2 linked regions of the Alligator mississippiensis genome follow. The protein of the gene in region 2 purifies or fractionates together with the protein of the main gene of each other region. This does not show direct contact. Links are inferred from orthologs where the notes say so. Each region holds a gene or a part of one and is shown on either strand. Other genes may lie near its edges. The genes, in order: KPNA6 and PTPN2.

Region 1 (16,032 bases), on a different chromosome or scaffold from region 2:
GCTCCACTTATCTACCCAGAAAAATGTGAGCAGCTGCCTTTAGAAAAAGCTGCCGTTCCCAAGTTCTTTCCATATCATGATATCCCATAGAGGAGCTGCAATCATTGCACTGGCCAGTTTGTTCCCCAGGTCCGGTTTAGTTTAAATGTTTCAGTTCCACTTCACAGCTGGGTCAAGTGCAGTTAACCAGGTTTCCTCTTCCAACCTTATCTGTAAATCTCAGACATCAAGATGCGACAGTTAACCTCAGAGCAGCCATAAGCCCCCACCTGACCTGTCTGCTGAAGCACATCAGGGAAACCAATACTGTAGTCAAAAGCGATAAGACTGACTTTCCATCAAAAACAAGGAGAAAAAGCTGTGCCCAAACTCATGGGAAAGACGGCAGAGTGCAAAGTTGTCGCGGTGCCTCTAATTTAGAAGAGTAGTGACAAGTGAACACAGGATGACGTGCAAAAATACAACGCAAGAGTCCCATTCTAATGGGACTCTTGTCTCTGCGACTCTTGTCCCTGCCTCTGCCCAATTTCTGAAGCCTTTTATATTTTGGCAACATGTGGCTAGATTTGTCCTGAGAAAGCATGACTGAACTGGAGTACAAAGGGCACTGGAGACAGGTCAGTGAACTCAAGACCTGAATGACATCACCCTACACCTTTAGTCATAACTATTATAAGAGTCATACCACCTACACCGTGATTCTCAATCAGGGTGCACGAGATCCTTTTAAGGATGCCGCACACTATTACCATTCATAGATTCTAGGGTCGGAAGGGACCTCACTGGGCCATCTGGTCCGACCCCCTGCCCCTGGCAGGCAAGAAAAGGGTCAAGCCTGGGGTCATGTGATCCCAGCCAGGTGCCAGGCCAGTCTCCTCTTGAAGACCCCCAAGGACGGGGTGAGCACCACCTCCCTTGGAAGCTCACTGTCAGGTGTCAAAACATCTACATGATTCACAAGGTAAACCCAGAGCTTTCAACGCAGGAATCCACCGTATAAAAGCATTCTGACCTGCTCGGGTCTCCGAGTTCTTTGCAACAAGAAAACTGCTCTATTATTTTTCCACAGTCAAAAAACAAGTGAAAGCTAAGAGCTTGCACTTTCTAAGGGGGAGCTGGAGTCTAACAAGGGATGTCCCCACCGACCTCCACAAATAATCTGTACAGCTGTTACTACTGCAGTTTAAACCATAACAGGGCTAAGATGTTACATATGCAAGTATATGTACATACAAATACATATACCTTGCACTGTGTTCATGTAAAGCTCAAGGGAAATCTGTTTAACTCTGCACATGGAAAGACGATGACTGCAAGCCTCCCCACCCCATTTCTCTGAAGTTTCCACTCTTCTATTTCGTAGAAAGTTGCCTTTTAAGCCCAGTTGGGTTTTACAGACTCCCAAACAGCTGCTTGTAAGGATAATGAGGAATCAATGCTCATTATTCAGTTAATTGCACAGCAATCCTCAAAGAGGTCAACAGGCCTACAGACACTAAGCAGGAAAAGATCAATTGCTAATTATAGTCATCACCAAAGCAATAAGATTGGCAGGTTCATTTCTTTGAGGGGCTTATTTCTGATGAAAATGTCCATGCGCCGAAGGAACGGCTCAAGGTTTAAAAAAAAAAAAAAAAAAAAAAAAATATCAAGCAAACTGATTACAAAGCACATGCCATGTTCCTCCCAAGGAAGTGAGCATTTCACGGGACAAGTTAATGACTGTTTAATGATGCTGGAAACCAAAACAAGTGAAGTGGCTTTTGCTGAGTACAACAGCTTCACATAACATTGGGTTCATCTGTCACAGTCTTAAAAGACTGTGGTCTTTTTTTTTTCTTTTAATGAAAGATTTGCCAATCTCTGCCTTGCATAGAGTTTTATCACCAGTTGTCATTGTTTAACTGAATACAAGAGGTAATAGCTGGGCACTGAAAGTTAAGTCAGCCAGACACTCCTGCTTGTCCATCACCTGTTAAATTGTCCAAAGGCTTAGACATAATGTGCCTTCAAAAGCCGACTTCTTACAAAAAGTCTTGATAACTGCATTTTTCTTCTGCTTTCTCAGAGAAACTTGATTCGCTGAAAGATGAATGTCCTGTTATCTTGTAAGATAATGCCTTGGACTTATTCAGCACCTACTAAATTGTTAGGTTTGACTAGCTAGTATCTGTACAATGCTTTGAGATCCCCAAATGGCAGGAGATGTGGAAATGCAATACATTTTTCTAGTAAAATGCATCCTAGTACAACATCCAACCTCTTTTGCATTCAACCACTAATTGGCACTTCCTTCAAACTATAGCAGTAGACTGTGCTTCCTGCTGGGAAGTCGCAGTAAAATTGCTGCATTCGGTGAGCAAAACAGAACCATTCAAAGCCACGGAGACAATGGAACACCAATAAGTGCCCCTGAAGCATTTAGGAATGTAATCCTTTCCTCCTTTGATCTAGCCAATATATTAACACTAATCACTGTAATTTCTTTAAAAATATAAAAGAGAAGCCAACAGTTACAAGACCACATCCGTTTTTTTGTGATTTTTTTTTTTAATTAAATAACTATAGGTAGAAGTAACACCTGGGATCAGGATAAACTAAATAAGTTAGTAAATGGAAAGAAAATCCTTTTGCTGTGTGACTGACAGCACTAAAAAAAGGTGCTTTTACCATTACTTCTGCAATTAGTTTCCTGATTGTTGAAAGATCTGTATAACCTGAATGGTGGTACAGAAATAAAAGCCTTACAAAATTCAGAACAGTATCAAAAATACAATGGAATTGAAAAATCATTTTTTAAATGCAAGTGGATAACATCATTTTTTTTTTTTGTAAATAAGAGAAGAATGCAGAGTCCTGCTTTACCAGCTAGCAGATAGTTTCCATAGGTTCACCAGCAGCAGCTACAGATAAGGACCTGTCAACATTTGTCTAAGAAACTCTCTCCTTGAATAGTTCGTAACTAAACTAAGAGAATTCACCACGGTCAAAGGTTGTAGGGAAAAGAACCTAAAGTTGTATTTGAGAAATATCTGACCATCTAATTAAGCTTGTCAGGAAGAATATATACACAGGACAGAGTTAGCTGCATGTACACATGAAGGGACAACATTAACTCAATCTAGTGCCTTTCTAGAACTAGCTAAATAAGGGGGGGGGTTTACTGAACCTGCTCTTTAGCTCCAATACCCATTTTCAAGTCGTCCCTCACCTCTTGTACCAGTGAGGTTTCACTTGCAAGAAAAAGCAAAGTAATGCAGAGAAACCATCAGAGAAATTAAACTGAGGTTTCCCTCCAATATTTCAGATACGCAGATTAAGTGTTACATGTGGCATTGTTCAGAAAAAGTTTCAGTAAAACAAAGTTTAAGATTATTAAAAAAAATAAAAATAGAAGAGAAAACCATAGGTATTTTCTGTTTCGTACCTGGGCCACATTTACCTTCTCAAGGCAAATTCTTTCCTGAATGTTCAATACAAACGAACATCCGTTAATTCAGTGGATGCTAAGACCTGTCTTAACACAGCCTGCCTTGGATCCCATAGCTGTGTGCTGTGCACACAGCACATTCTGTGCTAGTAAAACGCTTATCCATGCAATTATTTTGGCTGTCTGGTGCAGCAGTCACCATTGGCTCATTCCCTTCTGTTTTAGCTACCGAGAGCCCGTGATGTGATCTCATTTTTGGAAGGCACAGCCACTTTGCTGATGGTGCTGGCTGCAGAGGGAGAGGAAAAGCAAAGGTTTGCTTCTAGGGAATTCACCGTCACTTGGTATATTGGTCTTTCACCAAATTCAATCCTGTTAAGGTTTGGGTTGAGATTACAGAGGCCTGAGGGAATAAACACAGAGGTTGCCATTTTTTCTTCAGCCAGTCCCCAAAGACTCACTTTCACATTCAACTGTCTGCCCAAAAGCTTGCAATTAAAGAGATTTTTTTTGCAAAAATCTAGCTGGTCTAATAAAAGATATAATCACCTCTACCACCAATCCCAATCGCTTTTTCCTCTAAACCAATATAGCTACAACCTGGATACCTTCTTTACCCTCCTACATTTTCCAGGTCTTTTCTGTCGCTTTCTCCACAGAGCTGCGCGCTTCGTGCAGAAGACAAGTATCCCAGCATACATAGACAGGCTCTAGCATCTACAAAGGCATAATAAAGACCAAGCTGATCTTAGCTGGAGTAGTATAATAGCACTTAAACCAGGGGATTAGGCCTCTGTCTAAACCAAACACTTAAGACTTGGTGTTTGTACCTGCTCCAAGCATTTCACCATTCCAGGTTGCCTTGAAACTCCTTCCCCAAGAAGACTACAAGGGAAAACGCCCAACATTAATCTTTGCTAATACCCAATTTGTTAAACTTAGATAGTGTTGTGTATGCACCCCACCCCCAGACTGTAGGTCATCCTAAAGTTTACTTGCCTTCCGCAATGGTTTGTAAATCGTTTATTGAACAGAGATCCTATTTCCATGCCTTTATCTTGACCCTTTCCCACACTCATTTCACAAATAAGTGTTCAGTCCATACAACCATATGCAAAGCAAAGCAGCCACCTAACTGAGCTGCCCAAGTTTTTGTCTCAAGTAGTTTTGTGTCAGCATGAAGCGTGGTGCACTACTCTATGTTGTGTGTGCACAGCTTGCGCAGCAAAGAGCTTGCTGCGCAGGGCTGGACATAACACACACTGCTATATACAGCAATCTCTTTAGCTCTGTCCCTCTGTTATGTTAACATTACCTGCATCGGCTGTTTTGGTATACCCAAACTGAGCACTTAACCACTGCCTCAATGATCTGCCAGTGCAGGTTTTTTTTATGTAAAGCCTAAATTACTCTATTCAACTGCTTTCATCCAGAGAGCTGAGTTAGCCGGGGTCGTAAATCATGTAACACAGACCAGCAGGACACACGAAAGGGGGCCTGCTCCCCCTGCGTTCGCCCTCTGTTTTGAGAAGCCAAGTGACGGCTTTCCAACCTCAATTCAGTTCAAACCTCCGGTCAAGAGCTGACATCCAAGTTGCGATACGTCAGGCAGCGTCCCGGACGGCACAGCTCCATCGCTACCTCGTTCCTGCTCTCGGCGCCGCTTTTTTTAAGTCATGGTTTTACAAGCAAGCGGCGTTGGGAGGTGGAATAAAAGATCCCGGAAAGGCCGTTTTGCCCAGGCAGGGCCCAGAACCAGGGACTTGCAACTAGACCGGCCTTTCCTTTGACACCTCGCTCGACAGCGCCGTCGTCAAGCAGTCGGCCCTGGCTTTCAAGAGGGGCCGGCCGGCCGGCGGTACGCTCAGCCGGGTTGCTTTGGCTTGTCATCCAACCCCCCCCCCGCTCCAGCCTGGCTCATTAAGGGCCTAAAAAGGGCGGTCTCGCCCTTCCCGGCGTCGAAAGCCTTCGCTCCCAGCCAAGCGAGAGCAGATCAAGGACGCGCAGCACGATGCTCCTACGGAGAGCGACCCGTCACCGTCCGCTCGCTAGACGCGTTTCCCTCGCTTCGTGCCGTACGCGCCTCGCTGGAAAACGGGCCCAGCTCCAATTTACATGCAGGGAACCCACTTTCAAAGAAGGACAGTTTGAGAGCGCTTCAAGACGGGCGCGTTATAGAAGCGGAGACACGCAAAAATCGGATACGCTCCGAGACCTCAACTCGACGGCTCGGGCGAGACCGTTTTGGGGCTCGCCCATAGCAGACGGCGGGGGCGGCTGTCCCTGTCACGGAGACGTGTCGCAGGCAGCCAGGTCCGTGCGGGAGGCTGCATTTCGGCGCCCCCCCGCCCCGATTCACGGACGGCGTGACAGCGGGGTTACCCCGCGGGTAACGAAACCGGGGCACGAGGGCGAACTGGCACATCCAGGCCGAGGGACACCTGGACTCGCACGCGGGTATTTTGCTCCCTGTCGCCTCCACAGAGGCAGCCCCACGCAGCGACTCTGCGCCCAGGCTCGGGCCCGCTTCCTGAGGGCTGACACCCGGGAGCCGACAGGGCCGGGCCGGGCAGGGCAGCGACGCTGGAAAGAAGCCGGCTCGGTCCTGCCTGCTCCGGGGCCGCGGGTTTTTTTAAGACGAGTTCCCGAGAGCGGGATGAGCCCCGCCGGGGAGGCGGGCGCCGCTCGGCGCGGCCCGGCCCGCACCCCCGGGGCAGGCCCAGGCCGCGGCCCGCGCAGGGATCTCCGTGGGAATGAGACAGCGCCCCCGGGGCCGCGAGCACCCTGCTAGGGGGACCCCCCGGCGCCCACCCGGGCCCCGGCGCCGGCCCTCACCCATCGCTGTCTCCGGCGGCTCCGACGCTCCGGCTCGCAGGCGGCGGCGGCCACAATATGGCGGACGGGCAGCGAGGGGGGGGGTGAAACGGCGGCCGCGAGCGGACAAACCTCCGCGCGACGCGATGCGGACGCCTCTTAAAGGGACAGCGCGCCCCCTGGCGGCCCGGCGCGGGCGGCAGCGACACGCTGGAGCGCCGGGCTCCGTGCGCATGAAGGGGGCGAAGGTAACCCGCGAGAGCGGGACCCTCGTTACGTCTGCATGGAGCTGTATATACCGAGGGCAGACAAGGCTCCTTGGGTGAATCGGACCTCTTGTATTAGGCAGAGGTATATTTTTGTCACATTATGACACATGAAATATACACCTGAAATGTATACATGAAATATACATTCATAGAGTGAAAATGCCCAGGGTTTGGGGGTTTTTCTTCTCATTTAGAGGCCCCTCCTATTGGGCTCTCAAGGGAGAAGGGGCTCCCGAGGGAGGTGGTGCTCTGCCCTATCCTGGGGGTCTTGAAGAGGAGGCTGGGCAAGCCCCTGGCTGGAGCCGTCGGACCCCAGCGCCCTTCCCTGCCCCGGGCAGGGGGTCAGACTCGATCTGCTGATGTTCCTTCTGGCCCTAACACCTATGAAATCTCTATTGCAAGGCCCTAAACTGTAGCTTAAGTAGTTTAAGCCTAAATCCGGCACTGTGTGCACTCCCTGCCTGGGCATCCCCGGCTCCCGCGGGAGCATCCTTGCTGGGCACCACTGGCCATGGGCCGGCTCCATGGACACTGCAGGGCAGGGCCCTGGTCTCGGGGACCAGGTGAAGGGGAGGCAGTCCCCAGCTCTGGCCGGCTCTTGTCCTCACCCAAGGGGGCAAGTGCCATTAACCCAACCATGCTGTACGAGGCTGTTTGTCTGCCAGGGCCTGGTGCCAAAGCAGCAGCTTGCTGCCCACCTGCCAGATTTCAGGGGCAGCAGCCACCTGAGCCAGACTGGAGCAGAGACCAAGGGAAAGCTTCCTTATCCCAGGACTAACCCCAATAACGAGAGAGAGATTTCTGCCTTTACCCGGGAACTGCTCTCCCCCTCCCGCCTGAGAAAGGTACTGGTGCTCAGACCCAGGGTAAATGGCTGTTTGCTTTTCTCTGCGGGCAGAGGGAGATGTATATGGCTGACATGTGCTGGCAGAGGCAAGGGGTGCTATTAGTTCCTCCATTTCTGTCCCCGCTCTCCCCAGCAGTGTGATGCCAGCAGTGCTGATCTTGCTGGGAAAGGCTCGTGCCAACTCACTAAGGCAACTGGTTTCTGCCCCAGCCCAGCCCAAAGGTGGAGCAGGAGCTCGGAGGGGTCCCTTCAAAGCAGCTTCACTTGGTGGAAAAGGCTGAAGCAGGCCCCAGCCTGAGGAGCTTTGACACTGCATAGCAAGGGGCCCAAGGGAGAGAAGGAGCCTAGGGGTGGCTTTCCCCCCTGCCTCTCTTCTGCACTCAGAGCAGAGCCTGCTGCAACACCTAGAGAGCAGGCGGGCAGGTCGGTGCTGACCCACAGACCAGGGATCCAGCCCGAGCCTCCCCCAGACGGTGTGGAAAGGAGGAAAGCAGGAGCAGCATTGAGGAAGAAATCAGATGCTACCTTCCCAGCTGGAAGCAGGAGCTTTCCTTATCCCATATATGACAAGATGCTGACTGTGCAGTACTTGCATACATAAGTACTAAATCACTGTGCAGTTCCTGGAGTCAGCGCACAGTAGCGTTGCTGAATGGCTTTTAGGTAACGTCACCTGCGCAGTAGTGTCGCACCACACTTTGTGCCACGCAATGCTACTGTGTAGTAACGAGCTACCGTGCAGTCAGCGTCTCATGCAGATGTGACCAGGAAGTGTAATAATTGCCCCACAATATGCCTCTGAGAATGCCTCCCCCCCAGTCTGCTTCATGCAGTCACAGAGGACTCCGGTGATTGTAGGACACAGCTTGCTCCATCTAGATGCCTTTGCACAGCAGGGTTTGAGGAGGGGGTGACCTTTAGCACAGGAATAGATACAGGATTGGTACTGGCCAGTGCGGTTTTAGTGACCTCATCAATAAAAATGGGATTTTTGGAAATTACACATGAGCTGGGAAAAGTAACAGAGTTAATACAACCGGCAGACTTTGGCCAGGCACAGGTAGCATGGGAACTGCACATTCTGCTTTTATTGAGTGCAATAGCAACATGAGAGTGATGGACCAATATCTGCATAACTGACAAATCTCAAAAAAGAAAAAAAAAAAAAGTTACCTGTGGGGAGCTATGATTCAAGTGGGGGAAGGGATCTCCCACGCTGTCTCAGGGATCAGGACAATATGCTTTGACGGTGACCAGGGGTTAATATGAAATCAATTGTGGCAGATGGCAAATAATGAAAACAAAGTAGTTCAGAGCCCTCTGGCATAGGAGACGGGCGAGAGCAGCCCCTGGGCACATTCTTACACCAGGGTCCCTTGCTGTGCAGTGTTGAAGCTCCCCAGTCTGGGACTTGGCTGGGGTCTGTTCCAGCCTTCTCCATCAGGTGAGACTGCTCATACGGGACCTCCATCAGAGGGCCCCAAGCACTCTTACCTTCCACCCTTTTGCTGAGTTAGGGCAGGAACCAGCTGCCTTAGTGAATCACCTGGTGCACCCATTCAAACATAATGTCGTTAAAGGCAGCCCAATGCAAGGTTCATAAGTCCCGGAAGAAAAACTGCAGGCTGTGCCTCCAGGCTGGCGCACTGGATTCTGCAAGGCAGCCACTCTGAAGAGGATGTAGGGATCCTAATGGGTGTACAACTCAAAACGAGATCCCAGAGCAAGGAAGCAGTCATGAGGAGGATGCTGCACGTGGCACTGATGATGTAGATATCAGGATGCCGCACCCCATTTGGGCATCTGTATTAAAAAAAAGTTTTGAAAAATTGGGGAGAGTGCAGAAAGAACCCCTGAATGATCGAAGGGCTGAAGGAAGTGCTGCACAGAGACATCCGAGAGACTATCGAGGCAATTTGATTTTCAACATATAAAAACCTTCCTAGTGACACTAAGACACTAACACTTTCTCCAACGTAGCTGCAAAGGCAGAAGGCAAGGTAGAGATACACCTTATAGACTATCTGAATCAGAAAAGGCCAGAACAAGACCCAACAGCTGCAAGCTGAAGTCAGCCAAATTCAAAGCTAGGATGAAGGCACCAGTGTCTAGCAGTGGGGGAATGAACTGTTGGAACAAACCACCCAGGGGAAGCACTGGCTCCTCCAGTCTTTGAGGCTTCAGAGCAGGACTGCATGGCTTTCTAAAACAGAGTTTCAGCTAAACATGCCCTTGGGCTCCATGCAGTGATAGCAGGACAAAACATAACAACATGCCAGCTTTCCCTGTGGAAGGAGCTTTGACAGACTCTTGTCTTTGCATTGCCAAGGTCACACTGGATGATCTAATGATCCCTTGTCTTGGAGAAGAGAGGAGAGAAATCCAAGATGAACATACGGCAACACAAGGCGTTTTTTGCGCGCACTGCTAAATCCAATGATGTTACCTCTATTATTCCGGGTGCAGGGGACAAAGCTCCCTATAGTCTCTGGCACAAGATGGTATACATCTGCTGCCAGGCTCCTCTCTGTCTGAGCTTTGCTCTCAACCCCAGGGCAGCAGGAACCAGGGATGTTAAAGCATAAGCTGCAAGTTGATGGAAAAACGGAGTTTCTGTGCCAGCTGCTGGCAGGGAACCTTATGCTCCACAGCCCATCCTCATAGGCAGGAGTCCTCCAACCCCCAGCACGTGGAAGCTAGTGAAGATGTAATTTCATTGGGGTGGCACGTGGCCTGCAGAGCCAGGTTTCCCTTTATATGGAGCTCTGACGGGCTCTCATCTTTGCATGGGGGGCCAAGATGGCAGGAAAACATTTCAAGTCAAATGAGGTAGACACATCAGCCCCCACACCCGTGACAGACCTGCTGCTCCAACACCAATTCATGCCTGATAGAGTAGAATTAAAGGATGGAAGCCTCCAATTTCAACAGGTGAGGAGCTGGCAACTGCTAGCTTAATGCCTTTGGCCAGAGGCAGAAAACATGCAGAAAGAAGGCTAATTATCACAGCAGAAGTACTGCTTTGACCACAAGGAGAAAACCTGTCCGTGTGGGAGATGGACCTCTCAACTTGTTGCCACAAAGGCCCACTGGACCTGGGAACCATCACGAATCTCCCCCTTTCTGCTTAAGAGCACCAGGCATGGCTGTGACACACATGCTCCAAATACACACACTCCATGGTGTGGATGTTAAGCAAACAAATGCCAACCCACCCATGCAAAGCAGGCCTGAAATGCTGCCAAATCAGGGGGCTACTCATGCCCCTTGGTGCAATGCAGGGGAGAATCACACCCCTGGTGCATCCAAGAGAAACAAAGGCATAGACATCTCAACATCTGCCTATGAAAAGCTCTGGATTAAAGAACTTTTCTCCCCCAACAAAGGTGGTTACAAAACTCACAGGCGGTTCAGAGATATAAAGGATAAAAGTGATTCCACATTTGGAAGGCAGGGATGAGGCAGCAGCGCTCTGTGCCCTACCTCCCAAGTGATGAAGAGCAGAGCCCTGGAGGAACCCTGGTTGGAGCAGCCTGCACACAACATGCTCTTACTGCTGGCTCCCTGCCACCTCCTTCCCTCCCCTGGGGGTGGGCAGCCCCTGTGCTAGTGCACGCTATGGGAGGCTCCCCTGCTACCAGCCACCCATCCAGCATTCAGCTCCTGCACAATCCAAGACCACCTGCAGTCCCATCCACTGACTTGATCACACTCCGAACCTCACCCTCCTTGCTCCGTTAAAGCGAATCTCGTCACCCCCACCAACCTCTGCCCCAACCCAGGCTGTCCAGCAACACCTCTGTGCTCAAATACATTCCCCACACTCCTCCCCATGACTGGATCAAACCCAGCAGGAGCAGGGGAGGAGGCTGCTAGTGCTACCTATGCTTCCAGCCAGCCAGTGCAGGGTCCGTCCAATTCCTCTTCCACCAGAAAGGCCAGAGTGAGAATAGGGAGAGCCTGGGAACCAGGGCACCCCACGCTCTGCCCTTGCAGGAGCTGCCTGCCCGCCTGCTGAGTTGGGTACCAAGCAGATGCTGCAGGGCTGGAAGAGAGAGGATGGGAATGGGAGGGTCAGGCTGGGGACAAACCAGTGTTCTAGAAGGGCATTGGGAAGCAGCCCCAGGTAGCCCAGCAGGGAGAGGCAGCCATGGCAGGGGCAGGGGAGACACATAGGTTGAACCCAAAGACTGTCAGGAGCAAATCATACCAGCTTCTGATAGAGCCTGGTGCCAAAGCCTCTGCAGCAAGCCAGGACCGCACAAGCAGTGCCCTCTGCCAGGCAACCTCCTCCACAAACCTGGAGCCGGTCATTCCCTGCCGAGACCCCAGGCACCAGGCACCGGCGAGAGGCCCTGCCAAGTCTCTTGGCGGGAGCCACGGCAGAGGAACCCGATGCAGAGGAACATTCTAAGACGTCCTTTTATTAAAATGTGCGTCACCGTTCTGCGTGGCGCCCTTTGCTGTTCTCCGGCTGCCGGGGCGTTGCTGGCGGCAGCCTCCGTGGCCTCAGCACTCGAGTCCAACTTGGGGGAACCGCTAGGTGGTCCGCGGCCTGCGGTTCCCACCCATGGCAATGTAGACGTCAATGGGGACGTTGGGCAGCGTCAGGCAGTGGCACCCTGGGCATCTTCTCAGTTGCCTGCACAATGAGAGAGAGTGGGGGTTGTGGGTGGGGGGAAAGGAGACCTGGTTGATTCCAGCCTCCCAGGAGGCTGGTGCAAGGTTGCTGACATGGTTATCTGGATGCAGAGAAACATGGGCTGGCCTGGCAGTCTAGCAGCTGGCTCCTGCCAGCAGGGGCTGGACTGAGTCAGGGGATCAGAGCCCGCCTGGACAGGGCAGGGAGGCAGCAGCACTCGGCTCAGACAGGTCCTTTGTGCCCTTTTCCTCTGGCTTTATGCAGAGAAAGGCTTTATGGGATCTGGCATTGCACCCCTACACCAAGGATACCAGGATGGAGCAGCAGCCTGAGACCCAGCTGGAATATACTGCCCACGTCCATCGGTAGAACAAGGGGAAGACCCCTCAGATGCCCCACTGAGGGGGGCCGGCATTGTCAAACTCAGCTCTCACAGGGAGGCGGATCCTGCACAGAGCCCGCATGTCTGAGGAGATAAAGGCCAAGGGGTTGGGTCAAGACCTGAGCCCGCAGGGGTGCTGCCGGGGGCTGATATGGCAGCTCCCAGGCAGCTGCCTCAGCACAGCAGAGCCACCCACCAGTCAGAGCAGTCTCGCGAGGCCTGAGCTGGGTCTCGTGCTCTGCGGCACAGCTTACTGAGAAGGCAGGGTGGCAAGGATGAGCGTGTGGCAGGGCCAGCCCACTTCTACAGAAACCTGGTTCCATTCACACTGTTGCTCTCTGCCGGTGATAGAGACACCAGCCCAGTAGGGAAGGGACCTCCCACACACAGCCATCCCAGCCCTCCTCCAGCTCATGTAATCCCTTTGCTAAGCCAGCAGCCCCTTCCCTGCTCCTCATCACTGTACCCCCTGAGCCCCCTTCTCCGCCACCCACAGGCTCCAGACCAAAGTCCTGAAGCCCCAAAGTCAAGGGGACTCCACCAGGGGTGCATCTGCTCCCAGCACTAAGCTGTACTAAAGCAGGTACCCAGGGAGGGCACACTACACAGTTAACCCTAACCCAGCCCTGCCCCTCTGGAGCTTTTTTCAGTGCCCAGTCTGCAGGAACCAGCCTGGGCTGTTAACATGGTTTGCCAGAGCTGGATCAGGCAACTCTTACAGCCAAGAGGCTGTCGCAGCCTGCCCAAGCTGGGCTGGCCTCCCCTGAACAGGAGCAGCTCCTATGGGGCTACAGCACCCTTTCTCTTTCTTTCTTTCCAGCCCCGAGATGTCTCTGTGGCCTCCTCCCCAGTGCTTGGGAAGAACACAGCTGGACCAAGGAGACACTGAAGAGCAGAGGGAAAGGGCTGAGACTCCTAGCCACTGCACCCCCCCCAGCAGGATCAAAGGGGGCAATTGAAGAGATTAAAATAAGGCAACACCCTCCCTCTCCACAGACCAGAAAAGCCCAGGTTTCTGGAGTGGGGGGGATGTATGTGAATGACCTAAACACAGTAGCTGCCCCTACAGCAACCAAGGGGATGGACCCAGCGGAAGCAGGACTGGCCCAGGCCAGAGCCCAAGTGCTCACTGGGGGTCACTTCCCAGCTTCCAGCCAAGAGAAGCTGCATCCCCTGCGCACAGGGAATGGCTGGCTCACATGTGCACTCAGCTTCAGGCCCCCCATCACTGCCCGTACCTTGCTGCAGTGTGCTCAGTGGCAACTGGCTCCTGGGTTTCTGGAGCAGCTGCCAGGCTGGGGGAATCTCCTGCCTCGATGGGGAATCTCCGAGTTTGTGGGGTCTCCTGAGAGTTCATGTCCTAGCCCCAGACCTGTTTGATGACGAGAGAAGCAAGGTAAGCATGGGTGATTTGGCGGGGCCAGAAGCTCAGCGCCATCCACCCCTTCACCTCCCACACCCTTGTGAGGCCCTGACACACTTTGCAGAGGCTTGGGAGGATTCCCAGGAGTACGCCTGGCAGTCTGGGAGCCTAGTGCAAAGGGCACAATGCGAGCAAGGCAAACAGGAGGCAGAGAGCCTTCTGCATTGTGACACGGGAGGCTCCTCTTACATCACAAGACAGCTGGGGCATGGCCTTCTCTGCGTTCCCAAGCCCATAGATCAAGGCCTGGGGCTCTTCCCTGGAGCCCTGGGCACAGACCAGAGCTGCTGTGTTGGGCACCATGCTGCCACACAGCAAAGCCACAGCTCCCACCCCAAAGAGCCTGCCCCAAGTGTAAGACCACAGCTGGTTGCAGACAGGGAGCACAAAGAAGCTGAGGCCATGTTGACTAGCAGCGTAGTCTCAGTGCTCCAGACTTACCTGGTCTTAATCTAGGGCTATTTTCAAGCCAGATCCCACCAGCCTGAGAAGGCAGATGGGAGCTGCCTCTGTTCCCCAAAGGCTGAGGAAAAGGTCTTACCTTGCAGATGCTGAGACCAAAGGAATCTTTGAGGTTGATCTGTATGTTCCCTCCTGGACGCCAGTCCCTGTGGGGATCCATCATGGGGTTTAGAAAGGGATCCCGTAAGCCCCTCACACTGGACTCTTACTTGGTCTGGTAAACTAAGACTGAGCACAAACGCAAAGCCTACTCCACAAGGCGTTTCCCTCACCGGTCCCCAAAAGCGGATCACAAAGTCAATAGGGCAGGAATCATCTTTGTTCCACCTCTGTGCAGTGACCAAGATGGGCAGCCCCTCAACAAAGGAGGTAGTGTAGCCTAATGAATAGCACGGGGTGGGCAAAATGCAGCCCACCAGGCCATTCTAGAAAATTAATATTTAGCTGCCCCTGGCTGCCCATCATGCAACCCTCGATGGCTTGCCAAAACTCAGTAAGCAGCCCTCTGCCCAAAATAATTGCCCACCCCTGGAATAGCACCTGGGCTCAATTTCTCACTGGGTCACTGGGCTGCTGGGTCACTGGGCAAGTCACTCTCTTTGTACCTCAGCTCCTCCATCCACGAAAGGTTGATACTAGCCTCTTTTGACAAGCACCGAGACATACAGATGGGGATGGTTCTGTAAGCACTAAGTGTTACTATGATAGAAGTAACCCATGGGCACCCCTGCCTGTATTGGAACCATAAAAGCATGGGGGGAAGGAACCTCAAAAGGCCATTTCTAGCCCAGCCCCCAGCTCAAGGCAGGACTGTCCCAGTCTAAATCACCCCAGACCCGTGGTCATCAAACATGCACTTAGCTCCCAGTGACAGAGACCTCCCCTCCCCTCCCTCTCCAAGTAGCCTGTTCCAGTGCTCAACCAGCCGTGTAGATCTTATAAAGACTTTTCTAACTAGCATGTCTCCAGATTACAATGGAAGCCGGTTACCTCCATGTCCACTAAGGAAAGGACAAGACCAAACCCTCCAAATTCACTTGAATCTGATCTTGAAAAATTTGCCCACTCCACTACAAATCTACAGCGGGGGCAAATATATGGGTTACATTAAGAGTTACAAAGTCTGTACATCACTGCATGGTGTAAAAATCCCTTACCCCAAATCCCCACAAACAGGTCCCTGGAGATTATCCCATCACTGCCCTGGCGCGACTGCCCAGGGCTGCGGGCAGGTTAAGCAACTGCCCATTTTGGGTACTCGCCTCCCATGGCAGCCCTCCCCTTTGACTCATAAAATACAAGGTTGCATCATAATAGGGGCTTTGCATTTTGATGTCCCAATCCAGCTGCCCCCTTAATCAAGGGACTTTGTCTAGGCTGGAAAATAATCTAGGATCTGGGGCTGCAACCAATGCAGGCCTGGATTAGGAGAAGAAGCAAAGCACAGAGATGTCATATCAAAGCATCTACATGATGACCTGAGAGAATGAGTGGTCCAAAATTACAAGAGGAGATGGAGGAGTTTTTACTCTCCAATGGCTACCAGCTGGGAAAGACCATTGGGGAGGGAACATACTCAAAGGTGAAAGAGGCCTTCTCAAGAAAGCACCAGCAGAAAGTGGCAGTTAAAATTATTGATAAAAAGGAAGGTCCAGAAGGTAAGAGGCCTCTCACAGAGAGGGCCACAGGCTAAACAGTTGGGGAAGTGGTCACTATCTACGAGTTTGTTACTCCTGATTGAAAATATAATTCAGCTTCCCCCA
Region 2 (16,434 bases):
CAGCCTCTGCGCCAACATCCAGGCAGTGTGCGACCTGGTCATAGAAGGCTACAAGGTTTGTTAGGCAGGATCTACCTGTGACAAACTTGTGCTGGTTTCCCCTCTGTATCGTTTCCCCTGCTGGGCCTTCACAAATGTGTTCTTTGATTATTTTCTCTAGCATTTTCCCAGGAATAGAGGTAAGACTGACTGGCTTAAAATTATCCGGCTCATCCCTTCTCCCTTTCTTGAAAATGGGCACCACAATGGCCCTTCTCCAGTCCTCAGGGACCTGGCCAGAGCACCATGAGTGCTCAAACAGCTGTGCCAGTGGCTCAGCTATGACACTGGCCAATTCTTTCAGCAACCGTGGATGGAGGTCATCCGGGCCTGCTGACTTGTACCCATCCAGCTCTTCCAGGAGCTCCTTAACTATTTCAGAACTAACCGTAGGCGGACTGGTGCCATGTGGACATCCGTCAATGGTCGAGGTGGGGGAACTGGCTTGGTCGGTACTTAAAAATACTGAAGCGAAGAACTCATTGAAGAGCAATGCTTTCCCCCCCATATCAACCACCAACTGTCCTGATATGTCCTGCAGGGGCCCTATGTTGTTCTGAGCTTTCCTTTTGCCCACTATATACCTGAAGAAGGACTTTTTATTGCCCGCTACATACCTGAAGGACTATTGATTGTTGAAGCCAGCCTGAGCTCAAGCCCCGCCTTGGCCTGTCTAACTAATTCCCTGCAATAGCACACCAGGGAGATATATTCCTCCTTGGTGGCTGCTCCCTGCTTCCATTACCTATACATCTCTTTCTTTGCCCCCAGACTCTCCTGGAGTTCCCTGTTCAGCCAAGGGGGCTTTTTTGCCCCCTTACCTCCCTTCCTACGTAATGGGATAGACTCCTTTTGAGCCCCAAGGATCACTCCCTTGAGATGCCTCCAAGCCTCCTGGACCCCCATTTGCTCTATGTTCTTGGCTTGCATCCCCTCACTAACTAGCCTTCTAAGCTTGCATCAAGAGGGTCCAGAGGAGGGCCACTCACATGATCAGGGGGCAGCAAGGCAGGCCCTACGAGGGGAGGCTATGGGACCTGAACCTGTTCAGCCTCCACAAGAGAAGATTGAGATGGAATCTGGTGGCCATCTACAAACTGACCAAGGGGGACCAGCAGGCAATGGGAGAGTCCCTGTTCCCCCGAGCACTACCGGAACTAACGAAGAATAACAGCCATAAGCTGATGGAGAGTAGATTCAGGCTAGGTATCAGGAGACACTACTTCACAGTCAGGGCAGCTAGGATCTGCAACCAACTTCCAAGAGAAGTGGTGCTCGCTCCTACCCTGGGGGTCTTCAAAAGGAGGCTAGATAGATATGTAGCCAGGGTAATTTTATTTCTGCATTCTTTCCTGCCCATGGCAGGGGGTCGGACTTGATGATATACTCAGGTCCCTTCTGACCCTACCAACTATAAAGCTATGAAACTAAGCTAGCCCTGCACAAATTAACTCAATAACCACAAGCAACAGAGAGGTGTTCATGGCAAGCTTGGGTAATCTCTGACAGAACTGAAGAACCACTGGCAAATAACAGCTCCTGACAGTCTCAATACACCATAAAGAACCTTAGTAGCCTTATTCTGTTCTTTTGTGAGGTAAAGAAATAAATGTTTTACTTTGTAATACCATCTTATTTCTACCTTCTCTCAGTCTTTCACATCAATGTTGTAATATCCCTCAAAAATGCTCTATGTTCCCCTTATTCAGTTTCACCTCCAAAGCTAATTATTCTGTGTAGAGGAGCACCGATATATCAGTGGCATATCAGATCAGCACCGAAAAAAGGAAAATTAACGTTATCAGCAATTGGCCTTTTTTGGCCGGTGTAGCTGATGTCACCGATAAATGCCACGTGCATGTGTGCAGCCACAGCATGCATTGGTCAGGAGTGCAGCCTTGCAGCTTGGGGAGCAGTTTTCTGCCAGTAAATCTGTGGAGGGGAAGGGACATTTGGGGGGAGGGGGATGGGGAAGGAACAGATCAAGGCCCCCACAGTGAAGGAAGGAGTGGGGCAAGGGCAGACGCTACCCAACAAGGGCAGTGAATGCAACCCCGCTGGGAGTGGGACAGAGTCGCAGGAGGCTCATCCAGGGAGTCTGTAGGTGGGTCAGTTCTCCACCGCTGCACTCACCCCAGGGAGAAGCAGGAGGGGCATAAACCCCCATCCAGATTTGTGTGCAGGCTGAGGGCAGACAACCCATCGCAAGCTTGGGGCCAGGGGCTGTGCCAGCCTCTTCCTGGTGGGGGAGCTGGGCCGAGGCTGAGCTCAGGGCAGGCAGGGGCAGCAGCGCTGGGAGGGATGGCTACAGGGTGGGCTATGGCCACCCCAAAATTCGCTGTAGCCCCACCATAGCCACCGCCACACACACTGCCCCGCCCCTGCCTGCCCTGAGTCCAGCCCCCACCACCAGGAAAAGGCCAGTACAGCTCCTGGCCCTGAGCCCACAGCCTGCCCCCACCCCAAGCATGAATCCAGGGGGGCACAGGCTCCCCCATAACTCCACCGGGAGTGTGCACAGCATCAGAAAGTTGCACCCCTCCACCCCCTGCAGCCCCCAGACAAGGAATGTGCAGCTCTGTCCTGCTCCCAGAGGGGTCACATGCACTGCCCTGGCTGGGCAACTCCTGTTCCACTCCATCCCTCACCATGGGGGCCTCAATCCCGCCCCGCCCACCACCCTTTCCCTCCCCCATGCCCCTAGCCTCAACAGACTAACCGGCCAGATGCTGCTCTCCAAGCTCCAGGCTGCATTCCTGTAAATCAGTTATTGGATAGGTATCAGCCAATACAGCTTGTTAATACCTGGCTGTCAGTATCAGCCAAGAAAATCTTTACCAGTGCACCCCTAATTCTGGGCCTTGTCTTCTTTGGCCTCCTGAAATCTACATTCCCTACCACCTTACAAAAAAACCAAACCAAACCTGAGAAAAAATCTTGCTACAATATTTTTATCCTCTTACTGAAGACAGGACTTGAATGAGTACTTTAATGAAGTTTATAGTTTCAAAGAACTGGGATTGTTTTGCAAATATTATGTCACTTTATCTGCAGTGACACTTTGCACAAGAAATAAAATTAGGCATTTGTTTTGCTATAAAAAGCAACAAAAGCACTGCACTGAACAAGGGAAACAGCTGGCAGGCAACCACTTTGGAGCTCCCGAGATACAGAATTTTCCTACTTTTCATAAAGGTGTGGTATTGTATGCTGTCTTTTTTAACATCAATGTCTGCTTTCTTACAAGGTTAACACAAATATACAGCATACAAGTGCGTTTTGGACCAGCTCAACATATTAAGTGAGACAGCAACATTAAACCTCTTAATAGAAAGTATGGAAAAAATTATTTTCCCCACCATATAAAAACATTAAAAAAGAAACTCCCAACTTCTCAATTATAATTATTTTGAAAACGTCTCAATATGCATGTTTATATAAGTCTCCCATTTTCCCCAGAGATCAAATTAGCTGAAAACATTTCTACAGTGGCCCAAATATGTCTTGAAGGAAGGCAATTGAGCATAAGTGGCATCAACTTCTTATGCCAGCCGGGGGCAGACAACCTGGGACACAAGTGCCACAAGTGGCACATGCAGCCTCTGTGTGCATGCAACAGATCAGTGAGGGGGACAGGTAGTGCAGCAGCAGCTAAAGCATAAAGCAGAAGGCTTAGTAGGAAGTTGGGCTGAAGGCACAGAGTATGGAGCAGAAAGCAGAGTAGCAAATTGGGCAGTGGCATTCAGGGAGGGTGCAAGGCTAATTTGTGATACACCTGCCAAAAAGGTTGACCCCCACTCTCCAAGTATTATCACAAAATTATTCATGTATGAACTAGGTAGGAAATGACCAGATGACAGATGTGATACACAGCGTATTCACCTAGGAAGTCAATCTGTTGGGGAAATATATCCTAATCACAGTTCTGTACTGAAAAAAACGGGGGTCAATGAGCAGCATAGATTCATAGATGTTAGGGTCGGAAGGGACCTCAATAGATCATCGAGTCCGACCCCCTGCATAAGCAGGAAAGAGTGCTGGGTCTAGATGACCCCAGCTAGATACTCATCTAACCTCCTCTTGAAGACCCCCAGGGTAGGGGAGAGCACCACCTCCCTTGGGAGCCCGTTCCAGACCTTGGCCACTCGAACTGTGAAGAAGTTCTTCCTAATGTCCAATCTAAATCTGCTCTCTGCTAGCTTGTGGCTAGACTAAATAAACCCTTGAGCTCTTTCCAGATGCTCTGTGATCTAATACAATTTCATCTCCATGAGTTTGTTAGAGATAAAGGACTCAGTAGATAGGGGATGTAATCCCCTGGTTTTCAATTTTCTTTTTTTCTTCAGAATTTGTTGAACGTAATCAAATTATTTCTATAGAGTACCTACTTCTTATTTATATTTTCATAGTAAAGTATCTAGAGGTTAATGTGATTTCAGTGAACATGCAACCTAAGCATTGAGTATAATTTCATATGAGCTCACAATATTATAGTTACACTATAACTTTGATTGAATTCAGAAATACAATTACTTTGCATTTCTCTACTGTTAAAACAAATCCAGAAAGATTAAAAAATTTAGTTTTGTAGTGTAGGACTGAAATTCGTGGAAGCTTACTGAAAACACTTTGTAAGTATGCACACACATACAAGTTGAAAAGTCAAACAAAAATCTACATCTATTAAAACTACATCATTTATCTGAAATCAGACTAGAAAAATCTATAGTTTTAAACTATACGGTTTGCAGAGCTCTTAATATTTACATTTTTAATCCAAGTTAATTTTAATAAAACTGAGAGGATTTGTGAAAACTAACTTGATTTATAGAGGCACTCTGGACACCAGTTGTGCTTTCTATATATATTTTACAGCAATAGTAACCCATACAACAGTAACTATTTAACAGCAATAGTGACCCATATTGATTACATCATTACTACTGGTACATAGGCTTACCTTATAGTCATAGACATTACTGGTCTTCTACTGTCATATTACACCACTGTTTAAAATGCTATGTCTTATTTATATATTAATATAAAAATAAGTTCAAAAGTAGACCAAACTGCAAATGTAATTTAAGAGGGAAAGCAGTGGATAAGAAAGAATGATCTAGGAAGTACTAATTTTGCCAGGGGTTCTTAAACAGTAGAGAAATTAAAAGTCAATTCCTCATTTGTTTCCATGATTACCTAAGACAGCTCAATATGGTACAGTAGAAGTTAGCTCATCAGCATTTATCAAGAAATGCTGTGAACACCCTAATTAAAAAAAAAAAATCTCAGAATGCAAATTACCATCCTTATTACTAACTGCTCCTATTTCCACAAAAATAGGAAGCAGGTTATTTTCTTGCATGTAATTGAGTTGCTTTGATTCAAATAAGCAACACAGGATCTTCCAGGAAGTTGGTATACAACATCTTGAATTAAGATGCAAGCCCCCAAATGCAATCACCACCTACAAGAAATCCTGCAACAAGCACAAGGGATCCATCCATTCTCAGTATCCCTTAATGTTTAAAGCACAGATTCCCTGATATAAGGTTCAACAAGGAAATCTCATGAGGTTCAACAAGGACAAGTGCAAAGTCCTGCACTAAGGACAGAACAACCCCATGCTTAGGTGGGAGGGCCACAGGAAAAGGGGACAACAGAATTTGTGGGAACTGCATTAGTAGAGCATTGCCAGCAGATCGAGGGAAGTAAGTATTCCCCTCTATTTTGCACTGGTGAGGCCACACCTGGACTACTGTGTCCACTTTTGGGCCCCCACTAGAGAAAGGATGTGGACAAGCTGGAGTCTCCAGCAGAGGGCAATGAAAATGGTTAGGCGGTTGGGGCACATGACTTCCAAGGAGAGGCTGAGGGAACTGGGTTTATTTAGTCTGCAGAAAAAAAGACTTGAGTGGGGGGATTTGATAACCAAGAGCAATGGTGTCAAGCTGCAGCAAGGGATGTTTAAGTTGGATATTAGGAAAAACTCTCTCACTAGGAGGGTGGTGAAGCACTGGAACAGGTTACCTAGAAGAGTGGTAGAAGCTCCATCCCTGAAGGTTTTTAAGGGACAGCTTCACAAATCCCTGGCTGGAGCCATCTAATTGAGGATGGTCTTGCTTTGAGCAGGGGGTTGGACTAGATGCGCTCCTGAGGTCCCTTCCAACCCTCATTTCTATGACTGTATGACAGGGGTGGCCAAAATGCGCCTTGGGGACTGGATGCGGCCCACCAGGCCATTCTATCCAGCCTGTGGGGCCCCTAAAAAATTTAGAAAATTAATATTTATCCTGGGATGCCCGTCATACGGCCCTTGATGGCTTGCCAAAACTCAGTAAGCAGCCCTCTGCCCAAAATAATGCACAAGTATATCATAGACCAGGGGCAGGCAGTTAAATGCTGCAATGCCAGGCACATCAGAACCACAGGCAGAGTGTGCCATCAAATCTTCCCAATCAATGAATGCTACCACATTTGTGCTGCCGCTGAACTCTCCAGCCAGCAGCAAGGGGGGGGAGGGGGGGGGCGCGGCCTGGGGAAGAGTTCTGAGAGAGAGAATCCTAGGCAGTCCCCAGCTTTGCTGTTCGGCAGGCAGTGGCAGAGCAGAGTTGCACCTTACAGGCTAACCAAATAAGACAGCGAGAAGCTTTTATGAACCGGGGCTCACTTCAGAGGAAGCAAGCTGGAGTTCAGGAAAGCCTCTCTACTCTACTCCCGTCTAGAAGATGAACATCTCCCCAGCCTTCTGCCTAGCTTCAGACTTAACAGGGCTAACTACTACTCCCGGCCGCTTTTTCGCCTCAGCCTGACTTTACAGGCGTGAGGTAAAACATCGGCCAGCCGAAAACGGGGGGACTAGGGGGAACAGTACGCCCAGCCACAGACAGGAGCAGCGCCCCGGAAGCCAAGACAGAAGGGGGGGGAGGGAACGGAACGCCTGCGCCCTCCAGTCCCGATGCACGCCTCCCCTCAGTGGCGCATGTGCAGCTATCCACCTCCCCCTCCTCTCCCGCGTGGCGCATGCGTTGTTCCAACCGCATTCGTTGCCCGCCCCCTGCGCTCGCCAGGGAGCATGCGCGCACCCCTCTCCGCTCCGACCAGTGCACCCTCCGCGCCTCCGTTCTCCCTCCCGCGTGCCTGCTTCAGAGCATGCGCACTAGCCGCCTCCCGCAGCCTCGCAGCTGAAACCGAGCCGCGGGTCAGCGGCTCCTGGCATCCTTCCCCTCTCCCGCGCACTCACCAGGTAGCGCGCCTGCCAGTCGTTAGCGGCGTCTATCTCCTGGAACTCCTGCTCGATGAGAGCTGACATGATGGCGGCCGGAGCGAGAGTAGCCGCTGAAGCCCGACAGGCTCATAACCCCTCCCGCGCGCCACGCACGGAGCGCGAGCGCCGAGTGCCCGCCGCCCCGCTGCGCCGGCACTAGCGCGCGCGCACACGGGAACCCGCGGGGCTCTCCGCTGGCGCCGCGCGCATGCGCGCCGCGAGCTCCCGCCCCCCGGGGGCTGGCGCAACCCCGCCCCCCGGGGAAAGCACCTGGGGTGACGTCACAAGCCGCGAGGGCTGGGGCGGGGCTGCACGGGAACGTCTAGGTGAGGAGGGGGTGGAGCCTCTTCAGCTCAACGGTCGCCTCCGAGATTCCGAGATGCAGTGCTTGCCTCGCCTCTACAGTCCCGCGCGCGGAGACGGACGCGATCCAGGGGCCCAGCCCACTCCCGCAGAGGCAGAGCCCTAGGATGGCAGCAGTGGTTTTTCAGTCAGCTCTGCTGCCCTCTGCTGACGCGGCTTGCGCCTCACCTCGTGCTCCAGCTGCAGGCCGTGCAATAAGCCAAAAAAGCCTTAGGCCCAGGCGTGTTGGCTATGAGGACGTGGACACAGAAGGTGCTTTGGGTAAAGCCCATATCTTTTATTAGACTAACTCAAAGACTTGGAAAAATTCTTCCTGACAAGCTTTCAGGTACAAGCGCTCAGGCACAGCTTGCCAAGAAAAATATTTTCCAAGTAGTTGAGTTCAGATATCCGATTGACTGACCTTGTCACCCTGGATAGGACCTAGCAGTGCTGTTCTGCCCTCTTCACAGAGCCCTCCCTAGGGTATGGAAAATCGGGGTGACTACACTGGGCCCTGCACTTTGTGGGGGGCGCATGGACCTGGGCGGAGCGGCCACATCCTCTCCTGTGGGGCTGCGCTACGGAAGAAGCATGGAGACCCCCCCCACCCTTGCGGTACCCCACCACAGCCCCATGCAGTGTTAAGGGGGCCCCCCACTCCCCTAGGGTTGGCTCTGCCTCTTCGCATCCTTTCCTCACACGACCAGCCACACTTTCACGTCAAGCTGCTAGAAACCAGCTCTGGAGTTCTTAGGCACGTTCAAGCACTAACTTTGTAGCTGCTCAGCTCTTTTTATAGCTGGAAAGTCCTTTTTATGGTGGTTAATGGCTGGCATGTCTAAATTTATGGCATGACTCACCAGTTAATCCAGTGATTATTGCTCTGCATGTGGGGCTGCTCTAAATGTGAGGCTGCTCCAACTCACAGGAATTGCACAAGTAATGTGCAGGGGCCTTGTCTTCCTTTCTTTTGGGCTCAGGTGCATAAACATGAGTTGCAAGATAAACCCAGGGATTTCAAATAGGAATCCCTAGTGTTAAAAACATTCTGGCCTATTGTGGTTTTTCTGAGCTATTTTCAACAGACTAATTGCTCTTACTATTTATCTACAGTCAAGTGAAAACTAAGAGCTGGTGTTTTCTGACAGATGCCTCAAGTTGGAAAAGGTTGAGAACCACTGTACTAGGGTATGGGACAACTTAAATAACATGGGATGCCAGATGACCAGATCTCTGACTGCTTGTTTCTCCAAGGGAAGTCCAAATGCAGTTACATCTGTTTGTGAGCATTTTGTTCTGCTGCTTTTTTTGCCTCCCATTATATGCATTACACTGCTTAAACACACAGATGCACAAAGGTATCACAGGGTGGGGCTTTACTGTGCATCTGTTGCTCAGCTGCAGCTGCCCCTGTGGATGTCATTCCTTACCTGTGCTAATCAGAAGCTAGCCTGTGTAACTTAACCCTCAGGCACTGAGGACTAAGATACCATGGCTTACTTTCTAATTACCATAGTATAGATGGGGTGCAAAAGTAATTTCCATGGAGCGTTGGATAAGCAGTACCTTACCCTGTGACAAGTTCATATATATCAGATAAGTTGTCCCATACCCTAGTACAGTGGTTTTCAACTTTTTCCAACTTGAGGCATTGGTCAGAAAATGCCAGCTCTTAGTTATCACTCATTTTTTGTGGAAAAATAATAGAGCAATTCTTCTGTTACAAAGAACTCAGAAAGAGCACAACAGGCCAAAATGTTTTTAACATTATGGATTCCTATTTGAAATCTCTGGGTTTAATCTTGGAAATCATGTTTGCACACCTAACAGGGCTAACATTGCCTGATACCCCCTGGACATCTTTGAAAGGATCTCAAGTTACGCTAGGGTGTCATGGCAGCCTGGTTGCAAATTACTGCCCCAGTAGATGAAGCCCTGCTTGTTTTGCTGTATCCCTACTGGTCTTGACATCATGATGATAAATGATAAAGAAGAAAAAAAGACATGTTAGAGGAATCTGAGTATGTTTGCAATTGCTTGTAAGTGAATTAATTAAATTAGTTCATCTGGGGTGTATGAAAAATATATGTGTGTGTGGTTATTGTAATGAAGTGTAGATATCTTTGAAATAAATTTCTGGCTGTGATTCTGTGTTATTCTCTCAGAAAATTGTCAAGGGCTGGCTGCTGCTTTTTGGGTTAGAGTGAAATAAAGTGAACCATATTTACTAGCCAAGGAGAATCCCCTGATTCTGTGGAAAGGGTCAATATCCCACTTATCCTCTCTAGGAACAATATTGTGTGTATCTCTGGAGCAGAGCTGGTGCAACATCACTTGCCATTAAGTTCCAGAATATTTTCTTAGGGTATTTAATCAAATCCCAAATAGGTATTTTCCAAATTAGTTTGTAGGTCTATTATGTAGTTCTTGACCTCTGTGTCTACCTGCAAGATAAAGGGATAGATGACGAGTATAGTTTAATGTCCTGTGAATGTATACTAAAGCATGTGTTATGTGGTAGTGTATAAGATTAACAAGTAAATAAATAAATTATTTTAATGGTAGGGGAGTAGACAGGAATTAATGCACTGTGACAGAGCTCAATAAGGATGAAGTGTGACTATTGAACCATCTGGGGAGAAGGAGTTATCCAGGAGTACAGAAATTGTTCTCTTCAAAGAGAAACTGGTTTTTGACCAGTTACACCCCGCTTCCTTTGATTCCTGCTCCACCCAGACTTTAAAACCAACTGCCTGGGAGGGGCATCAGTATTTCTATTCAGAAAGTGCTGAAAGAGTCAATTGGCTTAATGGCTCACTATCACCCCCCTGATTCCTGCTAATCTCTTTTCACTCTGCAGTGGATTCACAATCCTTTTTTAATGGTCTTGGTGTTCCACTATCCAAACTGTCCTTTCTTTTGCAATTTCGTTGTCTGTTAGCCTTTCCTGGCAACATCTCTTGTCTATATCACAGACCTGCAGACTGTTTTTAACTCTAGCTAAAAACCGTAACTCAGGTGTGGTAGTATTAACTCAGGTGTAGAAATGACTGAGTAAAGTATTGGAGGCTCTGTCAAGATGTTCAGGAAGGCTAGATTTTATTTTATAAATCTGAATAAGAGATGTACATTTAACTATAATGATTACGTGATTAGTGTCACAATATCTTCTAACAATTTTTTTACCTAGTTTGTTTTGGTTTGTTTAAATGTATATATAATGTAGCAAATTAGTGCAAATTCCAGTATATTTATTTTTGCTTTGATTATTAATAATATAGTGCTAGTGCTAGCCACCGAGCATATTAGTAAAGCTTCTAGTTTCCCTTTAACTAGAAAATGTGTGTTGTGTTAGATGTGATGATGTGCCACATCATCTCCACCCTCCTTTTCCAAATCCTAAATCCGCCCATGTTGATGTCTGTACAAATTAGGTTAAATTATTTCATTCCTGTAAAGTAGCCATGCTGGACTTAATGCATCTGAGCTAGGAAGCTAAGCAATTCTGGGCCTCTCAGTATGTGGTTGGGAGACGACCTGGGATCTCAGGTAATGTAGATACAAGTCAAAAAGATGTGGTCAAACCTTGGTAAACATGAGCCCATAGTAACTGAATGAGTGGAAGTAACTACATTCAGCCCCATTATTCTGCTTAGCCTGCTTGATAAGAATAAAGTAAAAGAAGGACTTAGACACATGGAGCATAATTATATCTTTTTCTCTTTCTGAACAGTCCAGATTGTGGGAATGATAATGTTACATCCAAGAATCAGCAGGAGTATCCCTGGGCACGTACACTAAATGTGATATTGGCAACTTGGTATGTCTTTGGGAAGATGAAGAGGAGTAGTGCTGCTGATGTATGAACGTGTGAGATTGTATCATCTCTTCTAATGAGTAGACTTCTAATGAGAGCTGCCCTGTACATTGCAGGTTTTTACTTGTAAAACCATTTGGGTATATAGGCTCATGGTGTGAGCAACGTAGGTATTTTCTTAGGTGGAGGGTTGCAGTACAAGTTCTGTTTTGAATCTGTTATGCAACTCTATGCCTGCACCCATCTGTTGGAAAATGGAAAGAGCATTTATTTGTTGTGACTTAGACCTGGGTTTAGAATAGAAGAGTACCAACTAGTAAAGCAAAGGTTACTGGAAACATTGCTGTTTGTTGAGACTTCATGGTACATGTTGTACAAGTGCACAGTTTCTAGAAATGGAAATGTTGGATAATCCCTGAACTGCAAGTTTTGCTCTCTAACATGGAGAATTGTGGAATATACAATTAATATTATAAAATATAATTATATAGTATTGTCAATACCATGTTCCCATTCCACATTAACTGTGTAGTTAAGTATTTTATAATTCAGAGGAAGATTAAAAAAAGCAAGCAAGATACTGTTATAACAGTATTCTTTTAGAATTACACACCTAGTAGTTCCAACTAGTTTGAGCAGGAATTAAGAGCAGCACAAGTATAATCATAAAGTCATGGGAGTTCTTCCATTTAATCCATTCCCTGGGCTTGTACTAATTTGTGTGTAATCTGAATTTAAAGTTACCTGTGGAGACAAAACGAAGAGTGATGAAGGGGATATGTATGTACAAAGGCAAAACAAGCCATGACCCAGTAATGCAATGATTTTCAACGAAGGTACTGCAAAATCCTTTTAAAGGTGCCATGGGGTGCTATGTGTGTAAACACCTACACATGATTCACAGGATAAACCAAGAGATTTCAAATAGGAATCCACCATGTTGAAAGCATTCTAACCTGTTGTGACTTACTGAGTTCTTTGCCACAGAAGAATTGTTCTATTATGTTTCCTTAGTCAAGGCATGAAGGAAAGTTAAGAGCTGGCATTTTCCAAGGGATACCTCAAATCTAAAAAAAGTTGAGAATCACTGTTCTAGTGCTTTGGCCTCTGCATAAATCTGTTTAGTGTTCAAAGTTTCAATATAGATTAATTGGATACCTTGCAGAGGAAGGTGAAGAGAATAGTTTGTCATGTGGAGCCATTGGTGACACGTAGGGGGTGCACGCAGGTGCACGTGCACCCCATGAGATTGGTAGTGCACCCCCTGAGACTGGCTGCCACTGGTGCCAGCTGCACCTGCAGGTGGTTGCCTCTTACCACCCCTCCCCTCGCTGCTGACACCACCAGTGGTGTCTGCAGGCAGTCTCTGACTGCCGGTCAGTGCTCACCACCCCGACCCTCTGCTGCCAACACCACTGCGGCCACCTGCGGGCAGTCCCCACTTGCCACTGCCACCACCTGCAGGTGGTCATCGTGCCCCAGGAGGCATGAGGTGTTCATGTGTGGAGCAGTGATTCTTGACCAGGGTGCCACAGCAGTGTGAGCAGTGTTAGGTGTGCAAACATGATTCACCAGATAAACCCAGACATTTCAAATAGGAATCCATAGTGTCAAAAACATTCTAACCTGTTGTGGTCTTTCTGAGGTTTCTGCAACAGAAAAATGGATCTATTATTTTTTCACAGTTAATACATTAGTGAAAACTAAGATTTAGCATTTTCCGGAGGGTGTCTTGAGCCTAAAGAAGTTGAAAAACATTGGTGCAGAGATTAAATGTAATCTCAACTGCAAGAAGTTGAGGTTAGTTTGTTGGTGCGCCTTATGATTAATTCTGTTCTCCTTACAGACATGCCATCTGTTATGACTATTAACTCATGAAATGGGGTGCCCAGAACTGGACACAGTACTTCAACTGAGGCCTGACCAATGTCATATAGAGGGGGAGGATCACCTCCTTTGACTTACTCGTGATGCATCTATGGATTTTATGACAAGGTGTGGGTTAGCTTTCCTGACTTTGCCAATTGGCATCCTCTACCAGTTTCATGTAGTAGGTTTTTGCAGTGAGCCTGCTTTAATTTTTACTGTACTTTGCCAAACACTGTTTCCCCCATCCAGCATTTTGGTTAGGACTCCAGCACCCTGGTGAGATCATTATGACCTTTTCTACACTATGTTGTTGGTAGGTTCTGCTGAAGAGAGGGGCTAGATATGCCTTACCCCCCTGTACCCATACACATACTGCAAATTCAGAAGTGTCCTGGCAAGGCAGCTCTGGAAATGTTCCTAGAACTGTCACATTAATATTCAGGTGCAAATGTACCCAGAGGTGTCAGTCTGCAGCAGCCTCTCCCACTTACCTAAATAGTTCCCTTAAAGCCCTTTACTGAGGAAGAACCCTTTCTGACCTGCAGCTTCCTTATCTTTCCACTGATGCACAGCTAGTGCTTGACCCATGTTGAGAAAGCAGGTAATAACTCAGCTATCACTCCCCCAATTGCTCTGGCTGCAATAGCAGCCAGAATCTCCAAGAGCCCTCTTCCTCCTCCAGCTTCCATGCTCAGGGCCCACCTTAGAGAGTGGTGCAGTGCAGCATGACAAGCTTATTGAGGCTGGGGCAGTGTGGCATGCATTGCAACAGTGATGGGGGGGCATCCTCACTGGGTTGTTGCAGTGGTGGGGGTCTCCATGCAAGCCAGGGACTGTGACCCCAGCGGGTGCTGCCCACAGGGTGCGTGGTCCTCGGCCACTTAGAAGCTGAACCACCCCATCTTAATCTTTAATGGTTGAGGTTAAAATGGGGTATATGCATCCCAAACAGAGATATATGAAAAACTAGAATCCACCCAGGGTTAGTTTTTGGGGGTTTTTTTGGAAAAGGACAATGATGATACTTTTGTATGGCAGCATAAAAAACAAATAATTATTGCAAGGATATATTTTCTTGTTGGAGTGAAGTGAGAATTTGGGAAGCATCTTGCTACTGTGGCAAAATTAAATTGGCTTCAGGGAGTAGGGATCTGCAGCAGTGCTGAACTCAGTGGTGCTTTGGTTACCCTAGGGACTGTTCTGTATAATGTGTGATATTGTTTGCAAGGCTGATGTCTGGTAACTGTTGCTGTAAAAATAAAAGTGGTAATGGTGTAACCTGAAGTGATAATTTTATGATAATCTTGGCATAACAGTTCACTCTGGTTCCACTATGGAATGGACTAAGTGCAAGTTTCTCCATATTCACTGTGGCACTGGGGCACTCTCCAGGGCCTGGTCACAGTACCAGCCCACCCCCCTGTCTAGGGCAGTCTGCCCAGTCTCTTCTGCCATGCCTTGTTGTTAAGATACTAGTTATAATAATGTGGGAAGCTGGCCATTTAATGCCCAATGTCTAGGTCTTTGCACACAACTCCGACCTTCCTTTAGCATGTCCCATGCCTCGCAGATGTTACACTGTTGTTAGCAACTCTATAAGTCCTCTTGACATGGAGCCTCTGGCTCCTGCATCTCTACACCACTCAGGCACCAAGTTCTCTGGTGCCTGACTCTATGCCTTTCTCTGACATCTGGCTCTCCACTCCTCCCTCTCTCTGGTGCCCAGCTGTATGTGCCTGTCACTGGGCTCTGTCCAGATCATGTGCCCTTTTTTCTGAGCACTAATGAGGCCTCCAAACCTCCCCTTATAGCCTCATCCCGGTCCACCTTATTAAATGATAACACAAATACAAGCTCTGGGGCTACAACATAACGACACTAATCGAGACTGTGTTCTGTCTTTTTAAGAAGGTAAAACTTCCACCCTTAGGACAACACATCTCTTAGCCATGGGTACCTTAAACCTCTGGATCCTCACTGTTCATGTAGGCAGCAAAATAGGCAGCACCTAGTCTCAGATAGCTCACTTGGGCAGAGACTCCTTTCCTTGGCAATTGCTAGAGAGAGTGGGTGTTCCTCCTAGCTCCAGCCCTAGACTTATGTGTCCTCCAGGGCCCTGCCTCCTCCTGGTCACCTGACTGCATGCAGGTGCAGGCCAATTACCCTATTAGGCCATTGCTTAAGGCAACATGCAGTTGTGGAGCTCTGCCTAGCCTTCTGAGCCCTTTGAAGTAGCACGCACATCTTGGTGCCCTGCTCCATTCATTTTTGGTCCATTTGCTACCAATGGTATAAACGTCATCAATTAGAATTTTTTTTTCTGTGATACTTTGTTGTAAATCACTCTGGAATTGGAACTGGGGGTAGATGAAGAAATTTCTCACTAAAGCAACTTGTGTTCACAAATACACATCCGACAGCTTTGCCCTTTAACAAGTCAAATTGTATCATGTTCAAGTCTTCCATTGTGCAAATTTTGGAAAGGGCACTATGCCATTCCTTCTCTGAAGATAAGGGATATTTATACGAACATGTAAAGGCTTCCCTACATTACAAAGCCCCAGTCATTATGTTGCAGCCACGTCTTGTTGTTACAAATTATTGCTGGGAGGATGTTCTTGAATCCTGCCTCTCCTGGTTAGCTCTTTCATCTTCCTTGCCTGGATCTCCATCTCAGGGCTTCGCCTCCCCTACACCCCATCTTGCGCCAACCAGAGATGATGGTAGTCCTTGACCCAGGCTAAAACAAAGTCCATCAGCCATGGTTGGGCCTTATCCCATATCTAATCACAGTTCTGGTTCAGACAGTGTACCATCCATATTCAGGAGTTTGCCATCCATATTCAGGCATTGCATCAGCCTGATTCATTCTAAGGTTCACCCCGGGGTGCCTTCCTCCTGTTCCCTGACAACTACTTACAGCTTCAGCCTCCTTTCTTCTTTCTCTCTTTACAGGTTCACCACTGTCCCAGTCTCCACCAGCTTCATCTAGGATCCACAGCCTCAAGAAAGGTAACTATTCTGGCTCCTCCAAGCCAGCTTTAGCTGGGTATCCCTCCTCTTGCCCCTACCATGGCACTCATTTGTTCCCGGCTGCTTC

The links.
Region 1: the proteins of PTPN2 (region 2) and KPNA6 purify together in Homo sapiens (affinity purification with mass spectrometry; 3 studies listed by BioGRID and IntAct, with this or other methods). This does not show direct contact. The link is inferred for Alligator mississippiensis from reciprocal best matches to the Homo sapiens genes PTPN2 and KPNA6.

The regions. Positions count from the first base shown.
Region 1 is NC_081829.1:5,504,965-5,520,996, reverse strand, and holds the start of KPNA6 (importin subunit alpha-7), read right to left. Parts: upstream 6,375-16,032; 5' UTR 6,270-6,374; coding exon 6,266-6,269; intron 1-6,265. Other genes in the region: protein FAM229A, read right to left, coding at 11,900-12,002, 13,623-13,741; TSSK3 (testis-specific serine/threonine-protein kinase 3), read left to right, coding at 15,756-15,927. UniProt on the Homo sapiens protein: Functions in nuclear protein import as an adapter protein for nuclear receptor KPNB1. Binds specifically and directly to substrates containing either a simple or bipartite NLS motif.
Region 2 is NC_081826.1:97,922,325-97,938,758, forward strand, and holds the start of PTPN2 (tyrosine-protein phosphatase non-receptor type 2), read right to left. Parts: upstream 7,456-16,434; 5' UTR 7,349-7,455; coding exon 7,280-7,348; intron 1-7,279. UniProt on the Homo sapiens protein: Non-receptor type tyrosine-specific phosphatase that dephosphorylates receptor protein tyrosine kinases including INSR, EGFR, CSF1R, PDGFR.